4 linked regions of the Canis lupus familiaris genome follow. The protein of the gene in region 1 interacts with the protein of each later gene in a biochemical or structural test. Links are inferred from orthologs where the notes say so. Each region holds a gene or a part of one and is shown in the gene's direction. Other genes may lie near its edges.

Evidence for each region.
Region 2: of the proteins of UBE2I (region 1) and PSME3, one has a biochemical effect on the other in vitro, tested with the Homo sapiens proteins (2 studies listed by BioGRID). The link is inferred for Canis lupus familiaris from reciprocal best matches to the Homo sapiens genes UBE2I and PSME3.
Region 3: the proteins of UBE2I (region 1) and PIAS1 form a complex in vitro, tested with the Homo sapiens proteins (12 studies listed by BioGRID, with this or other methods). The link is inferred for Canis lupus familiaris from reciprocal best matches to the Homo sapiens genes UBE2I and PIAS1.
Region 4: the proteins of UBE2I (region 1) and PIAS4 form a complex in vitro, tested with the Homo sapiens proteins (4 studies listed by BioGRID). The link is inferred for Canis lupus familiaris from reciprocal best matches to the Homo sapiens genes UBE2I and PIAS4.

The regions. Positions count from the first base shown.
Region 1 is NC_049227.1:39,919,405-39,922,904, reverse strand, and holds part of UBE2I (SUMO-conjugating enzyme UBC9), read left to right. Parts: intron 1-1,472; 5' UTR 1,473-1,483; coding exon 1,484-1,549; intron 1,550-1,742; coding exon 1,743-1,826; intron 1,827-2,918; coding exon 2,919-2,991; intron 2,992-3,500. UniProt on the Homo sapiens protein: Accepts the ubiquitin-like proteins SUMO1, SUMO2, SUMO3, SUMO4 and SUMO1P1/SUMO5 from the UBLE1A-UBLE1B E1 complex and catalyzes their covalent attachment to other proteins with the help of an E3 ligase such as RANBP2, CBX4 and ZNF451.
Region 2 is NC_049230.1:20,062,001-20,066,114, reverse strand, and holds the start of PSME3 (proteasome activator complex subunit 3), read left to right. Parts: upstream 1-1,314; 5' UTR 1,315-1,357; coding exon 1,358-1,432; intron 1,433-1,535; coding exon 1,536-1,568; intron 1,569-1,705; coding exon 1,706-1,768; intron 1,769-1,959; coding exon 1,960-2,064; intron 2,065-2,964; coding exon 2,965-3,013; intron 3,014-3,687; coding exon 3,688-3,800; intron 3,801-4,104; coding exon 4,105-4,114. UniProt on the Homo sapiens protein: Subunit of the 11S REG-gamma (also called PA28-gamma) proteasome regulator, a doughnut-shaped homoheptamer which associates with the proteasome. 11S REG-gamma activates the trypsin-like catalytic subunit of the proteasome but inhibits the chymotrypsin-like and postglutamyl-preferring (PGPH) subunits.
Region 3 is NC_049251.1:32,546,733-32,550,944, forward strand, and holds the start of PIAS1 (E3 SUMO-protein ligase PIAS1), read left to right. Parts: upstream 1-1,412; 5' UTR 1,413-1,427; coding exon 1,428-1,484; intron 1,485-2,720; exon of another isoform or gene 2,721-3,864; intron 3,865-4,212. UniProt on the Homo sapiens protein: Functions as an E3-type small ubiquitin-like modifier (SUMO) ligase, stabilizing the interaction between UBE2I and the substrate, and as a SUMO-tethering factor. Catalyzes sumoylation of various proteins, such as CEBPB, MRE11, MTA1, PTK2 and PML.
Region 4 is NC_049241.1:55,944,840-55,948,907, reverse strand, and holds the start of PIAS4 (E3 SUMO-protein ligase PIAS4), read left to right. Parts: upstream 1-1,268; 5' UTR 1,269-1,283; coding exon 1,284-1,328; intron 1,329-3,726; exon of another isoform or gene 3,727-3,824; coding exon 3,825-4,068.

The DNA.
Region 1 (3,500 bases):
GTTGAGGCTCCACACTTAGCCAGGGCCCTACCTTCTGGTCGTTCCCAGGTCTGTCGAGCCTGGTGGGGAAGCAGGGGTGTAGGTGAACCTGAGCCCAGGAACATGGCTGGGAGGTGGTTCTCCTGAACCCAACTGAAAACCCTGGTAGTTGTGGAGAACCCCGCATTGTACTCAGGAGCGTGGGTTGTTGGACCTTTAACCCCATAAGAGCAGAGCAGAGACTTGTTGCCAGGTGTCCATGAAGCCTGCCTGAAGGGTTGGGGCAGGCTGCTGTCATCCCCTTCTAGGAGACACCCTCTTTGTCTTGTTAAAGCCTTGTTTATGGTAAATGTTGGATTCTAGGAGTCCTCGATGTTTCCATGGACTTTGAAGAGCAGCAAACAGACTCAGGGCAAGATTCTCCCAGGGCAGGAGGGAGCCAAGGGCAGCTGGGGGCGCCCCAGCCTGTTCTTTGCTGGGTGAGCGGCAGCCCAGAGAGTCTGTTCCACCTGCAGGCTGCGCACAGGTGTGCTCAGCGGGCGCCAGGCCACTGGTGGGAACAGCCAGAGGCACCAGGCCTTGGGGGCTCGGAGCTGCCGTCTCCCACAGCCAGCACGCTCCCAGGACAGGTGGACGCTGGGCAGGCTGTGGGCTGGCCACTCACCTCCTGCTGACTCCCTGAGTAAATGGGAGATAGGCCTTGATCCATTTGTTGTTTGTGGGGCGGCTGTGGATCTGGGGGCAGGGGGTGGCTGTGGGATGGGTAAGTGGAGACGGCAGTGGGTAGCGCCTGGGGCCCTGGTGAGAGGTGGGTCTCTTGGGTGCTGGGGGCTGGGTGCTGTCCAGGGACTTGCGCATGATGCGGTGTGAACTGATGTCCGCCCTGGGGCACCTTTGTACTCCATTGCTTTCAAGAATAAGTGTGGTTTGGGCAGCCCCAGTGGCCCAGCAGTTTGGCGCCACCTTCAGCCCAGGGTGTGATCCTGGAGACCCGGGGTCGAGTCCTGCGTCGGGCTCCCTGCGTGGAGCCTGCTTCTCCCGCTGCCTGTGTCTCTGTCTCTCTCTCTCTGTGTCATGAATAAATAAATAAAAATCTTAAAAAAAAAAAAAAAAAAGAATAAGGGTGGTTCTCCTGACCAGACAAGAACCTAGATTCTGAGCCGCGGGCCTAATGCCCCCCACCTCGGCACTGGCAAGGGGGACAGGTGTGCAGGCGTCTGCCGGGAGTGCTTGGCCAGGCCTTTCTGTGCAGCACTGGACAGTTGTGTAGCCCCAGGCCTGTGCCTTCACCTCCCTGCACCTCGGGGTCACTGGGAAATGGAGACCACAGTGGGGGCCCTGGGAGGGGGGAGGCCGGGTCAGCCCCGTGGGGCCCCCAGGTGGGGTGGCTCGCTGAGAGCACGGTGCATGTGCAGCAAGCTGTGAGAGCAGAGGGGCCGGAGGAGCCTGAGGCCGACCCTTGCTAACCACACGCCCTGCCTGGTCTCTTCCAGGGACTTTGAACATGTCGGGGATCGCTCTCAGCAGACTCGCCCAGGAGAGGAAAGCCTGGAGAAAGGACCACCCGTTTGTAAGGAAAGCTTTATTTCTGCACACAGCAGAGTGGATCCGTTTCTCCTGACGGAAACCGGGACGTCCCCGTCCAGCCCGGGCCTGTCACGTGCTCTGTGCGGAGGGCCCGTGGGGGGTCATGGGATGGTTCTGCGAGTGGGTGAGACGAGATGCCGCGGCGCTGATGTGCTTGTGTGGTTGTTTTCTCTCAGGGCTTTGTGGCTGTCCCGACAAAGAATCCCGACGGCACGATGAACCTCATGAACTGGGAGTGTGCCATTCCAGGGAAGAAAGGGGTAAGAGGTGCTGCTCCTCGGCTAGCCCCGTGTGTGGGCCCCATGCCCTCTTGGAGGAGTGGGGAGGAGGCCAAGGTGACATGTGACACACACAGCCCCCCAGGGCAGCTGTAATTCAGAAAGCAGGAGCTGGGCTGAGGAAGGGGGTTGCTGGGCACCCCCACCAAGCCTGGGGGGCAGACCTGCTGCATCTCTGGGGCAAGAGGAGCCTTGAGGGCCTTCGCATTTTCCTTCAGGATCAGCCTCGTGATGCTGGGTCCTGGTGGTCTTTGAGCCCAGGGCGGCTGCTGGCCCTCAGGTGTGGAAGTCCCACGTGGGCCCCCTGGGAAAGCCGTGTGCGGCCTACGTGTGCCAGGCCGGTTAGGATGGGCGTGCTTGAAGCATTTGGAAGTGAGGATCTCCAGCAACCCCACATCTGGCTCTTCCCGGGAAACCCTGAAAGAGAGAGGAGGCCCCTAAGGGGTCCCCATTAGGTCCGACACCTCATCGCTTCTGTTTCTTCCTCCCATGGTTCACGATGACCGTCCCAGGAGCTCAGCCTTGGTGGTTCCCAACAGTCAGTCTCCTTTCTTTCTGCTAAGCCAATGGGATTAGGACATGGCTTTGTCTGCAAGATGATGTGCTTTGGGTTCTCCGACCTTTGAGCGCCCAGCCTGCACCTCTGCTTTTGCTAAGACCATTCCTGGCCCCTCATCTGAGGCCAGGGCAGGCACAGTGTGGCCATCTCCCTCCCAGAGGAGGCTGGGGAGGGTCATGGAGCTGGAGTGGGGGGCCTCGAGGCAGCTGCTCAAGTAAAGATCCCAATCCCTCATCCTGGGGTCACCAGGGACAGCCTGCCAGGCCTTGCCTGTCTTCCCAGAAGTCCAGCTCCAGCCCTGCTCCTCTCTGGGGAGGGCTCTTCCCAGGGCCCCTTGGGGCCCACGGAAGCACCGACAGTCCTGTCACGGGGACAGCTGATCTTTGGGCCAGTGTAGGAGCCCACCTCCCTGTGGGGGCAGTGCTGGGGGACCTGCTACAGAAGCCAGCTGCTCCTGGGCTCGGCCCACCACAGAGGCCAGCAGCACACCTAACTACAGCTTTGCTTCCCAACAGACTCCCTGGGAAGGAGGCTTGTTTAAACTACGGATGCTTTTCAAAGACGATTATCCATCCTCACCCCCAAAATGTAAGTAGAGTGAAGTCCAGCGGAGATCGGAAGTCCCATGTTCCCTGGGGGCATTTCCAGGGGCACTCATCCTCGAAGCCGGCTGTGGATCTGAACCCGTTCCTAGCGCCCAGTGCTGGGAGCTGCACGTAATGGGCCTAGTCACAGGCCCTGGCTGTGATGCCCTGGACAGCTCCCGGGCGCTTCCTGGGGAGGAGGTGCCACCACCCCCACCCCAGCCCGGGCAGGGATGGGCATGCAGAAGGACCGCGGTGCAGAGCCTCGCCTCTCACAGCCTCCTTTCCCTCCCCCGCTGGTGCTCCACCTGTAGGTGACAGTTTCCTATCTGGCTTGTGGCCGCAGGCGCCCCCGGACAGATAGCACACCAAAGCGGCCAGAGAAGGCTGCGCTTAGAGCACCAGAGTGCAGTTAGCAAAACTCGGGGCCAGGCGGGCACTGAGTCCCTCCGGTCTCGTAGCTGCAGATCCACAAACCCTGCCCACAGTTGGTTAATTCAGTGAGCTAATGTG
Region 2 (4,114 bases), on another chromosome or scaffold:
AAAGTCGGGAGATCTGGGTCTGGAAACTGTGTGGGCTTGGACAAGCAATGCCGCGCTCCGGTTGTCAATCTGCCCATCAGGCAGCTGATCTCTGAGGTCTCGAACTGTATGAGGCTAAGTGACGGAGGAAGGTGGAGAAGCCTGGGACAACAGAGCTTGACTTCTGTTTGACTCTAGCCTAACACTAGAGCTTCGGCCGACGGGAGGAGGCAGCAAGAATCACAGAGTAGAACCCCCGAGCCCAGCGCCGGGGCCGCCGGCTTCCTCGGGCCGACGTCACTGGGGCGCGACGGCGCTGTCCGTCCTGTCCTCGAGGCGGCAGCGGTTCAGAAGGTCCCTGTGATGAGGGCGAGCGCCGAGCTAACAGAATGTCCAACAGTCCTGGAGTCTCTCTAATGCTCAGTTTTAAGCAAACCACCCTCGGCTGCTCTCCCTCCTACTTCGCCCTTACCCGGCATTGGATGCCGGCTGCTAGGAGTCCGGTCTCGGACGTCCAGGGCTGGACCCCAGCGCGGCTGCGCAGGGCACGTGCGCCTCTCCGGAGTCCCGGCGATTGGCTGTGATGTAACTTCCGGCGTGAGCGGCGAAAGCCGGGAGGGCGAGCGAGAGAGTGAGCAGGCAGCAGGCAGCAGGCGGGCGGGCGGACGGCTCGGAGGGAGGGAGCGAGCGAGCAGTGAGTGAGCCAGCGAGGGCGGTCGCGTCCCTAGAACAGCCGAGATTCTTCCCGTCCCTCTGACCCCCTCCCCGGAGCCCACAGCGCCTCTGGTCTCCAGTGGAGCGGACACGGCCCGGCCCGGCCATGGCCTCGTTGCTGAAGGTGGATCAGGAAGTGAAGCTCAAGGTAGCGGCACCGGTCTGGGCCTCCTTACCCCCCGCTTCGATTCCCGAGCAGTCTGACCGGCTCCCCACTCCCCATGGCGTCTTTGTCTCCCTGGGGACACCAGCTCTGAGCTTCCGCTCAGCTCAGCCCAGCCCCCCACTCCCGGAGACGGCATCAGGGGAGAGGATAATATGGGGTGGCCTTGTGAACCGCATCTGGTGGTGGAGATCCCCGAGGAGACCTCCGCGGACACGTGGTGGACTCAACACTTTAGGCCAGTGACAGCTGGAAGTCCCCAGTCCAGCAACGTCCCCGCCTCCGGATGCTACCGCTGTTCTACCCCTACCCTTGGCGTCAGGCCTCCCTGGTATCAAAGGCTAGGTCTGGATGGGGGCTTGGCACGTTTGTGAGCTCACATGCCCCCTGTCTACCTGACTTTCGTTTGCTCTCAAATCCAGACAGCTTCAGACACAAGGAGGGAGGGTGGGAGGGAAAGCAGGCGGGTGCTACCCTCAAACCCCACTTCCCTCTCCTGAGATGGAGAAATGGATCCTCAAAAAAATAAAGTATTTACAGTCTGGGGGTCTCTCAGCTTCTCATTACAATTACAAGGTGAGGGGAGTACGGCTGGATTTGGGTTTTCCCGTCCTGCCCTTAACCTCTGTTGCCAGGTACTGACTTGCTGTTACTGAATTGCTCTCTTTGTTAATTTTAGGTTGATTCTTTCAGGGAGCGGATCACAAGTGAGGTGAGTGCAATAAAAAAAATAAAATAAAATAAAATAAATAAGCGTTGGTTGATAGTTGGGAATTTCCCAAAGAAGAGATCTGTAGAGAGAGACCTTCCCACAATTATTAATTGAGCTGTATTTTCCTTCATTTTTAGGCAGAAGACTTGGTGGCAAATTTCTTCCCAAAGAAGTTGTTAGAACTTGATAGCTTTTTGAAGGTGAGAGACTCTTTTCTTCAAATTCCCGTTTTTTTGGCTCTGGTCTTTCTGTCAAATGGGAGAAATCATGTGTTGATTCTATTTTGTTTTGTACAGTAAAATGCTCTCATTTCTTGCCCTTCAAATAAAATACTTCTTTGTTCATTTTGAAAAGACTGATGTTGTTTTGGGGGTGGGCGTCTCTCTTTCAGGAACCAATCCTAAACATCCATGACCTAACTCAGATCCACTCAGACATGAATCTCCCAGTCCCTGATCCTATTCTTCTCACCAATAGCCACGATGGACTGGACGGTGTGAGTGTCCTGTATTTTTCTTTGTATTCTGAAGCAATAGTTCTCTAGTCTCTGTTCTTTACTTCCTAGTCAATTTAAACACATACGGAGGAGACAGTGGATTAGGATCTAGGAACAAGGGCTCTTATAGACCTGATGATTCCAGTATACCACTTTGAGACCCTGGTTTTCATTTATAGCATGAAGTGTGTAATGTAATGTTACTTTGTCCTACAGTGAGTTCCTAATAGGACTAGTAGCTACAGGTTTCCTCAAGTTATCTGGTCTGTCCCTGTGGCTCTAAACAAGATATTTCTTACCTTTTTCAATGTCTTGAGTATTGTTAGAGGATGAGTAGTGCTTGCTATATAACTGTAGTCTCTGTCTATGTGACATATATTTAGAACCCCGTGCTTGCCAGTTACATGTCCACATTTCATAATAACAGTGTTAACACTGTATTGTCTGAATTACTGTGTCCTTGATAGAGCTTGCAATTCTGGAAAACAGAAACTATTAATCATCTTTGTATCCCTAGCACCTAGCACTGTACTTGGTACATAGTAGGTGCTAAGTACATGTTTGTTGATTGAATATTGTACTTCTTTGTGGAAGTTGAAGATTTGTACATATTCCCTTTAGTATACTCACTGTGCTTTGAATGGTTCATTTTTCCTGTTGCTTATAGTATCCACCCCTCTCCCCCAGTTGCTTAATGTGTCATTTGAAGGCTGGTCTTCCCAACTAGATTGTAACTTGCTTTGTGGCAAGAATCTTTTTTAAAGTCTTATATGTGCTTAGTAAATTGTGCATAAATGAAAACAGCCTATGGGGCCAAAGAGATTAGACTTGCTTGAAGGGTAACTTGTGATGGGAATATGGGTGTCAAGAGCAGACTAATTCCTATCTCTGTATCCTTAGCCCACTTACAAGAAGCGAAGGTTGGATGAATGTGAAGAGGCCTTCCAAGGTAAGAGCCAGTCTCCCCCGCCCACCTACTCCCTGGCTTGCAACCCTGAGCAGGAGGATTGATCTGGCAGTCTCTGATCAGAAAACAAGACCGAATTTTATTTTCCAGCGTTAACATTCCAAAGTTCTACAAACATGGTTATTATTTAGCACCCCAAACCTAATTTCCCAATAAATAGGGAGCGGTTGACTTAGTGTGGACTGTCAAGGGGGAGAGGTTTGAGGTGGCTACACATCTTAGATTTTCCACAGAAGTTCTAGTTATTTTCTCTTTTTCAGTAATAGTTGGTGCATTAAATCTTTAGAGCATATTTTAATTTCCTATTCTTTCCTTATTCAGATTTTGGCACTTTTTTTTTTTTTAAGGATTTTATTTATTCATGAGAGAGAGAGAGGCAGAGAGGCAGAGACATAGACAGAGGGAGAAGCAGGCTCCGTGCAGGGAGCCCGATGCAGGACTCAATCCCGGGACCCTAGGATCATACCCTGGGCCAAAGGCAGGCGCTAAACCGCTGAGCCACCCAAGGATCCCTTGACTTCGGCACTTTAGACACTCATTTTAGATAAAAAGCAGAGATCATAGCATCTCATGGGTCTGGGAAACAAGGAAGGTGGGGGTATTATGTCCTGTCCCCCAATCCCTCAATCATTTGACCTTCTTCATGTCCCTGCCAGGAACCAAGGTGTTCGTGATGCCCAATGGGATGCTAAAAAGCAACCAGCAGCTAGTGGACATTATTGAGAAAGTGAAACCTGAGATCCGGCTGCTGATTGAGAAATGCAACACGGTGAGGCAGGGGCTAGTGACTTAAGGGCTGACCCCAAAAAGCCTGGCTTGAATTATGAAAAATATTGGTTGTGGGGCAGGAGGCATGGAGGTGATAGAGGAGTTGGCACATTAAGTATCTTGGCTACCATGTTCCTGGCATCTGATCCCAGCAGCAAGGATTGTATATTTCATGGCTTCAGCAGAAAAAGCGAGGGTCTTCATATATGTGTGTGTGTGTGTGTGTGTGTGTGTGTTTCTATATATATATATATGTCTATATATATCCATATATATGTATATATATTGGTCCTCTCACCCTTCAGGTCAAAATGT
Region 3 (4,212 bases), on another chromosome or scaffold:
TAGCCTTCACTTCCTGGTTGCAACTAACATGTTTAGCAGCCAATGTTGGAATCTTAGGCCTTTTTGGGGTCTTTCCTGAGATGCATCTTGTCTCAGGCATGTTACATGGCCTTCTAAATGCCCCTGTGTTCATGAGCACTTTTCATTTTGAATGACCTAAATTCCCAGTATACTTCTCTCCTTAGCTTTTACTCCCAGGCTTTAGGTGGTCTATTTAGGTACCAATGGTAACCTTCGTCCCCAGGCAGTTGCAGGTTGTTTATTTACCTTACAGTATTTTCAGGCAATGTCTGCCGCTTTTCTGCTGGTTAAGCAAAAGAGAGATAAGCCTTGCGTTAGTCCTTCAGCTGGCTTCCAGGAAGATTAGAACAGATGAAAACAATGATTTCCAGGGACTAGAGCTCCATCCTAGGAAGGTGGGCTGCGGTGGCCAAGTCATAGATAGAGTAGGGCAGGGATAAATGAAAGTATCATAAAGTTTTCTTGCCATTTTTAAGTTGTCTTATTTTATTTTACTTTATTTTTTGGATTGAACATTTACTTGGTTGACTGTTTTCCAGAATTCTGACAAAGTTGGTCTGACAGTTGCTGGTTATTTTTTAAAGTTTCCATGGAGGTATGGGGGTTTAGAGCTGTCAGTTCTGCCATTTTGATGATATCCCTCTCCTCACAATTTTGATACATTGTATCTTCAATATTTATATACATGTATACTTTTTAGATATTCATATTCATATATACATATATATATGAAAAAATGTGTACTTTTGTATTGAAGTAATTATAGATTCACAGGAGATTGCAAAGAAATGTATAGGGAAGTCACATGCATCCTTTCCCCAGTCTCCCTGGAAGTTAATATTTTGTGGAACTAAAGTGTAATATCAAAACCATGAAATTGACATTGGTAGGAACCACCCTTTCCCCCCATCCCTAATTCCTTGACAACCACTAGTCTATTCTCTATCTCTGTATTTATGTTATTTCATTAATGTTACATAATAGACATCCTTTTGGGATTATTATTTTTTCAATCAGTATAATTTCCATGAAGTTTATCCAAGTTGTTGTGTGTTTTTGTTTTTGTTTTTAAATTGCTAAGTAGTATTCCATAAGATACCTGTATTGCAGTTTGTTTAGCCATTTACCCATTAAAGGAGATTTGGATAGTTTCTGGTTTGGGATTCTTATAAAGCTGCTATGAACATTCTTTTTTTTTTAATTTTTATTTATTTATGATAGTCACAGAGAGAGAGAGCGAGAGAGGCAGAGACATAGGCAGAGGGAGAAGCAGGCTCCATGCACTGGGAGCCCGACGTGGGATTCGATCCCGGGTCTCCAGGATCGCGCCCTGGGCCAAAGACAGGCGCCAAACCGCTGCACCACCCAAGGATCCCTGCTATGAACATTCTTGTACAATTCCCTTCATGGAAAGAAGTTTTTGTTTCTCCGGGATAAATGTCCAAGAGTTGTTGGGTTGTATGGTGAGTACCTTTTCAGTTTTCAAAGAACGGCCAAACTCTTTTCCAAAATGGCTATACCATTCCTACCACAAACTTGTGTGTGATCCCTATCTAAGAAAGCTACTTCTCACTCAAGGTTATAGAGACTTACCCCAAAGAGTTTTAAAGTTTTAACTCATATTTAGGTCTATGATTAATTCGAAGTTAATTTTTACATGTTGGTGGGACAATCATTTTAGGGCCCACAAAAATGTTTTAAATCCTTAAAATCAGAAGAAAAAAATAAGCATACTCTGCTTGGATTGCATTAGTCTTTACCAATACAAATGTAAAATGTAGTTTTAAAAATATATATATTAAAGAAACTCTGAGGTTCTGACACTAAATCTTTCCATACCAATTCTTCTAACACCAACTAAATATCCAATAATTCAGTTTTGACATCAACTCCAGGGATAAGTTGAGATCCCACAGGTTAAGGGCTCAGTTCCACAAGACTGCTCCTACTTCAGATACCAGTTGCCAGTCTCATGGGCCACTTGAACTTCTGACCTACCAAATTTGAGAATTCCTATAATTTCTGCTCAGTTTTGATTATCTATTAGAATGGACTCACAAAACTCAGGAAAACATTTTACTTACATTTACCACTTTATTATTATTATTATCATTATTATTTTAAAATATTTTATTTATTCATTTCAGACAGAGAGAGAACATGAGCAGGGGGAGAGACAGATGGAGAAGGAGAAGAAGGTTCCCCACTGAGCAGGGAGCCCAATACAGGACTCGATCCCAGGACCTTGAGATCATGACCTGAGCCAAAGGCAGATGCTTAATCATCTGAGCTACCCAGGTGCCCCCTACCAGTTTAATATATAGGAAATAACTCAGGAACAGCTAAGTGAAAGAGATTCATAGGGTAATGCATGAAGGGCGGGAATGCAGAGCTTCTCTGCTCTCTCTTGGCGCCCATTTCCTAGTACTTCCATGTATCTACTAACCTCCCTCTAATCACTTTAGTCTTTCTTTCTTTCTTTTTTTTTTTTTTTTGATTTTATTTATTTGAGAGAGAACATGAGCAGGGGGGAGGGGTAGAAGGAGAGGGAGAAGCAGACTCCCCACTGAGCAGGGAGCCTCATGTGAGATTTGATTCTAAGACTCTCAGATCATAACCTGAGCTGAAGGCAGATGCTTAACCGACTGAGCCACCCAGGTGCCCAATGTTTAGTCTTTCCAGTGACCAGCTCCCATCCATTTTTTTTTTTTTTTTTAAGATTTATTTAGTTATTGCAGTTCTGCTGTGAGGTCATTTTAGATAATACAGAATTGACAGGTGGTTTTGGAAACAGAGATTATTAATAATCTTGATAAGTGATCTCGATGAGAGAAGTCAAGGCTGGATCGGAGTGGGCTGAGAAGGGAATGTGGTAGGAGAAGGGAATGAGGAAAGGAGAACAATCACTGTTGGGAGATCTTGAAAAACCTGAGAATTTATGCACTGAAGAGGGAGAAATAGGGCAGTTCTGGAGGAGATTTTGGAGTCAAGGGAGGTTTGTTTTAGATGGGAGGAATTTCAGTATGTTTGTATCCTGATAGAAGTAATCTAATAGGGGAAAAAGTTATGATGCTGGAGGGCGAGGTGATTGTAGGAGTAAAGTTTTTAGGAATGTGGGAGGGAAAGGAATCCAGGTCACTGGTAGAGGGACTGGCATTCATAGGCGCAAGGACACTTCATTCATAGTAACCCAAATGTTACTATGTCTGTAATAATAGTTTTGATGGTGAGAAGATAAGGGAGTTCATGGCTGTTATATCTTTTAATTTTTTTCCATGAGGAATGAAGCAAAAATTGAGAGCAAAGAGTGGAGGTTGGGAAGCTTTCAGTAGCGAGGAAAAGGTGTGAAATAATTCATCACATCTGCTCAAACGTCAAAATATTGGAGAAAGCCCTCCCGGTATCAAGCACATCTCCTTCCAACCGCTTTTTTCTCCCTGGACCTTTTTAGCTCTTTTCCGGTACTCCTCACCATTTGTAATTGTATCTTTTATCGGTGCACTTGTCTGTTCCTCCAGTAGAGAGCTACATACAGGAGGGCGGGGACTCTTTTTTTTTTTTTTTTTTAAATTTCCCCGATGTATTCACAAAGAAACAGGACTGGTACATAATCAGTGAATCATCACTCGTTGAAACAGAGTTAAATGAACGAACGTCTATGAAATTTTGTCTCCGGGTCACCGCTGTCAAAGTGTTTGGGCCACTCACTTTTCCCCTTCCCTGAGCTCTCATTTCTGACTACGTAGGATGCCACGGGGATTGTAACGTCTCCTCTGCCCACCTCACCGCGCCGTCATGAGGAACATCTGAGCTAAGAAATCTGGAAATGCTTCATCCAGCGATCTGCAAACGTAACGGATTATTTTTAGCGCACGCGTGGCCTCACAGGTAGCAGGTGCTGAAAAGGACTCGCTGGCTGCGCCGGGGGGGAGGGGGGAGGCGGAGGAGGGGGGAGGCGAGGGGGCCGTTATGGTTTCTGGGACTGCAGGCATCCAAGCTTTGCAAGAAGGGTTCTGCAGGCCACGGAGAGGCGGGGCTCTGGCCCGCACCCCCCCCGCCCCCCCGCTCCGGCTTTCCCCGGAGGCGCTAGCCCGGCGAGGATGGGGGGCGGGGAGGTCCAGGGGGGAGTAACTGTCAAACCTCCTCGCTTGGCGCCTTTATTTAAATGGTACGTGCGGGTCTCGCTGCTGT
Region 4 (4,068 bases), on another chromosome or scaffold:
CTGTTCCAGGGGTACTGTCTTCCAGGTACCTTGCCCCACACTACAGTGGGGTTGTTCCCTTCCTCCCTGAGAAGTTTACTCCAGGCCTTTGGTGGCCGGGAGGTGGGAGACCGGACCTTTCCTGGACAGAGGCTCCGCCTTTTCCCCTCCCACTGATCTTCCCTCCCCAGGTCCTGACCTGTAAATGTTTTCTTTCTCCTGTTCCTCTCTCTCCCTCCATCTCCCTTCTCTTCCTGCGGAGATCTGAAATGCAGTTCCCTTCCCCCTGGAGCGTCCCCCTCAATGCCTGTACTACACTCTGCCCTTCTGTAGGGTTTTGAGAAATTGGGACTTGCCCTGGAGATGTGGAAGTCTGAACTCTGCATGCCCAAGGTAGCAGCCAGTGGGCTTGAGGACCCCCGGAGCCCTCAAATAAAGCCGTCCCATAGGGCTGTGACTCTGGGTGTACCCCACCCCCCACCCGGTCCCAGTCCCAGCCAGACGGTAGGGACTGAATTCTTTTATACCATCCAGGGCCTTGAAATATGATCTCATGAACTCTACTTGACCCTCCGGTGGCTGGGGCCCCCACCCCAATTAAATCAAGTTGACCCTTTTTTCAAGTTCTCTAGAACGTGAGCCTCTGTTCAGTGACACAGCTCGCTCCGAGCCTCGGGCGCCTTTCTTTAGTCTGTGGCTGCCACTGTGGAGTGTCTTAGGTGTCGTTGAAGTGTTCTCTTCTTTTAGGTGCTTACCTAGCCTTTTGTAGTAACAGGGGCTGGAGATTTTGTCTTTTGGAGTTCAAAACAGGCTGGTCCTCAGGGAGAATGACAGGGGCTTGTTGGTAAACTTGGAAATCCGCCTTTGCCTGAGGCCCCTGTGAGGGCTTGGGGAGAAGAGGCAGTCTGGGAACCCCTTGAGATGGGAGCATTTTGCACAGATCTCCCATTTCCTGGCGATAAGGACCTTAACTTTCCGCCACATTCAGAGGAACCTATACCCGAGACGGGTTAAGTTAAGCGCGGCAGCTCTATCCAGGCTGATGTTTTTCCACATAGCTCCAAACAAGCCCAGAGTTGAGACTCTGGAAGCCGTGGGGGCCTGGTGCTGTTTATAAACACAGATCTGAGGGGCAGGCGGGTAGGATGAAGCCATGGCAGGAAGTGATTTGCAAAGTGCTTGGGGCTTCTTCCTGAATGTTTGTGCCCCTCTCACACTGTCCCCCCTCCCAGTGTCAAGGGCAGGCTCCTTGGTGGTGGCAGCTGCTGAGAAATCCGAGTCGTGAACATATGGCAGCTTGAGGGATGTGCCCCAGGATGCTTGTGCGGCAGCTCCGGATGTCCAACCTGGTGAAAGGGCTGGGCCATGGCGGGGGCAGGGTGCTCCCAGGGGCGGGGTGATGGTAGAAGATGTGTTGTGGTCAGACTCGGCACACCGAGCCCACCTGCCTTTAGCTCCGTGGAGGGCACTCAGCTTCCACATGACGTCTCCTCTCCCCTCCAAGGCCTTGGGCCTCTTCCAGAAGAAACATCTTGTCTGCAAGCCTATTTTCTCTGCTCAAGGTAGGAAGTCAGGCCAAGGAAGGTGAAGTCTTTGTGTTTTTGTAAGCATTCTGGGCTCTCTGAGAGCCTACAGATTGCTTAAGTCCCAAGGCAGGAGGTGTGCTGGGATGTGAGGGGTCCCCAGGCCCCCAGATAGCTGGGTGGGAGTGGAAGGAAGTGCCCTTGGGACTCTGATGGCTCCTGCCACTGACACGTGGGGAGGCTCTGGGCCAGCCACGTTTTTCACGGGGCCTCGGTTTTCTAACCTGCCTGGTGGGCGTGGACCCTTGTGAGATTCGTGGCCGCAAAGAGCCCTTGTGCTTGGTGTGTGGCGGATGCTCCACATCTGTAGTGTGGGAATAGGAGGAAGGCCCTGCAGCGGGAAAAGGCTCCCCCTTGAGATTTTGCAGGCAGGATGGGCAGCCCCACATGTGTGTATCTGTCATTTTGTGCCTTGACAGCCTCTCTGCTATCAGCAGGAACCTGGTGGACGGCTGCCGAAATCTTAGAGGGCTCACATCTTGCATGGGTAGATGAGATGCCCAAAGTGCAGAGGGACCCTACAGAGGACCTGGGGTTGCCTAGGAACCCAGAGCTCCTGAGTCCTGGTGCTGCCCTCAGACTACACGCCTCACCCTTCAACAGCCAGGAAACGGGAAACACCAGAGCCTTCTGGCAGTGAGACTGCTACGTAAACACCCTGGCAGGGTTCCCACCCACCTCTAACTGTCAGACTCTCAAGTTGAATTTAAGGGCTTCATTGGTTTCCTTGGGTGCTGTCCTGCCCTGTGCCCGCCAGCTTCCCATATACACCTTCATCACTTGTACCTGTTTTCCCCATTCCCCTGGAAGTTTCTTTTTCCCCACCACATTTCATTCATTGCAGGCCAGCTTTGGGGCTCAGTGTGGGTGGCCCTGAAACCCTGCCGGCCTATCCATCCTTCAAGGATACTTTGCTTATGTAGCATATTGCGGAGTGTCAGTCCCCTTGGCGTCCCAGAGTCTCCCCGAGGCCAGGCTATGGTCAGGCCGCCCCAAAGAAAACATCAGCGTCAGCTGAGCTCTCGTGTTTGGTTTGATTTAGTCGGAGGGACCCTGCCAGGTAGTAAGTGCCAGACTCTGCTAGACCTCTTTCATCACTTTGCCACAGCTCACAGCCTCCGTGGCTGCTGTATTCCCAAAGCCTTCTCCTCAGACCCGTGGTTCTAAATGGGCCGAAACTGTTCCCAGGGCACACTTGGCAGTGTCTGGGGGACCTTTGTCATTATCACCACGGGAGCTTGGGGAGAGTTCCTGGCATCGAGTGGGTGGAGGTCAGGGATGCTGCTGAGTACCCAACAGTGCCCAGGATGGCCCCGCCCCAGAGAACAATCCAGTCCCAACGTCCACAGGGTCGAGGCAGAGAAGGCCTTCTGGAATGATCAGCAGACGTTTGATGTTCACCAGTGCTCAGCCCCATGTGGACACCCCTAGTGCAATAGAGAGAAATTACCCCTGGCTTTGGAGTCAGGCCTAGGTTTGAATCTTGGCTGTCATGTGGAGCTCCCCACAGCCCAGCAGGATTGTCATAAGAATCAGCGTTGAGTATATGATCACATGTGCAGCTCAGTTCCTGGCGAGTGATTGGTATTAAGTCGTGGCTACCATACTCCAGACTGAAGGGAAAATGTGTTTGTGGCCAACGTTGATTTTCTCTGCTTTCCGTATGTTACCTCATCTGGTCCTTCCCACATCCCAACGAAGTGGGTCCTGTCATCCTGACGAAGAGACTGAGGGTCACAGAGGCCATTAGTGTTCTTGGCTAGGGAGTGGCTGAGGCTGTTTACGGGTAAAGGAAGATTCCCAGTTCCTGCCCTGGGGATGCTTTCAGGCTTGAAGATGGGAAAAGAGAACTTAAAATAGAAGGCAGCGGTGTGTGTTGGGGGGGCGGTCAGAAGCTTTTGCTGCGTTGGCAGTGCTGAGGAAGGTTTGAGGAGGAAGAGGTGGAGGGGAGCAGGGTTAAGCTGGGAGGGGGCATCATAGGGAAGGGTGAGCGGGCAGCGTGAGCAAGGTCATGGAAGTGGGACTGAGCCTGGGCTGGTGGGCCTGGTGCCTACGCCTCCTCCTCCTCCTGGGCTCCTGCTCCTGCCCACCAGAGTGAAGGGGGTCTGGAGGGAGGGCCAGGCAGCACCTGATGGGCTCTCCTTTCGCTGTCCCCCCCGTTTAGGGCCCAGGTGGCTCCACGAAGCCCCTTGCCCCATTGGCAGTCCCCGAATCTGGCTGTGTCTCCTCTGAGCGTGTGTATCTGTGGTTGCTCTTCCCCAGAACATGGTGATGAGTTTCCGAGTCTCCGATCTTCAGATGCTCCTGGGTTTTGTTGGCCGGAGTAAGAGCGGACTTAAACACGAACTTGTCACCCGGGCCCTCCAGCTGGTCCAGTTTGACTGTAGCCCCGAGCTGTTCAAGAAAATCAAGGAGCTGTACGAAACGCGCTACGCCAAGAAGAGCTCAGAGCCTGTCCCCCAGCCCCACCGGCCCCTGGACCCCCTGACCATGCACTCAACCTACG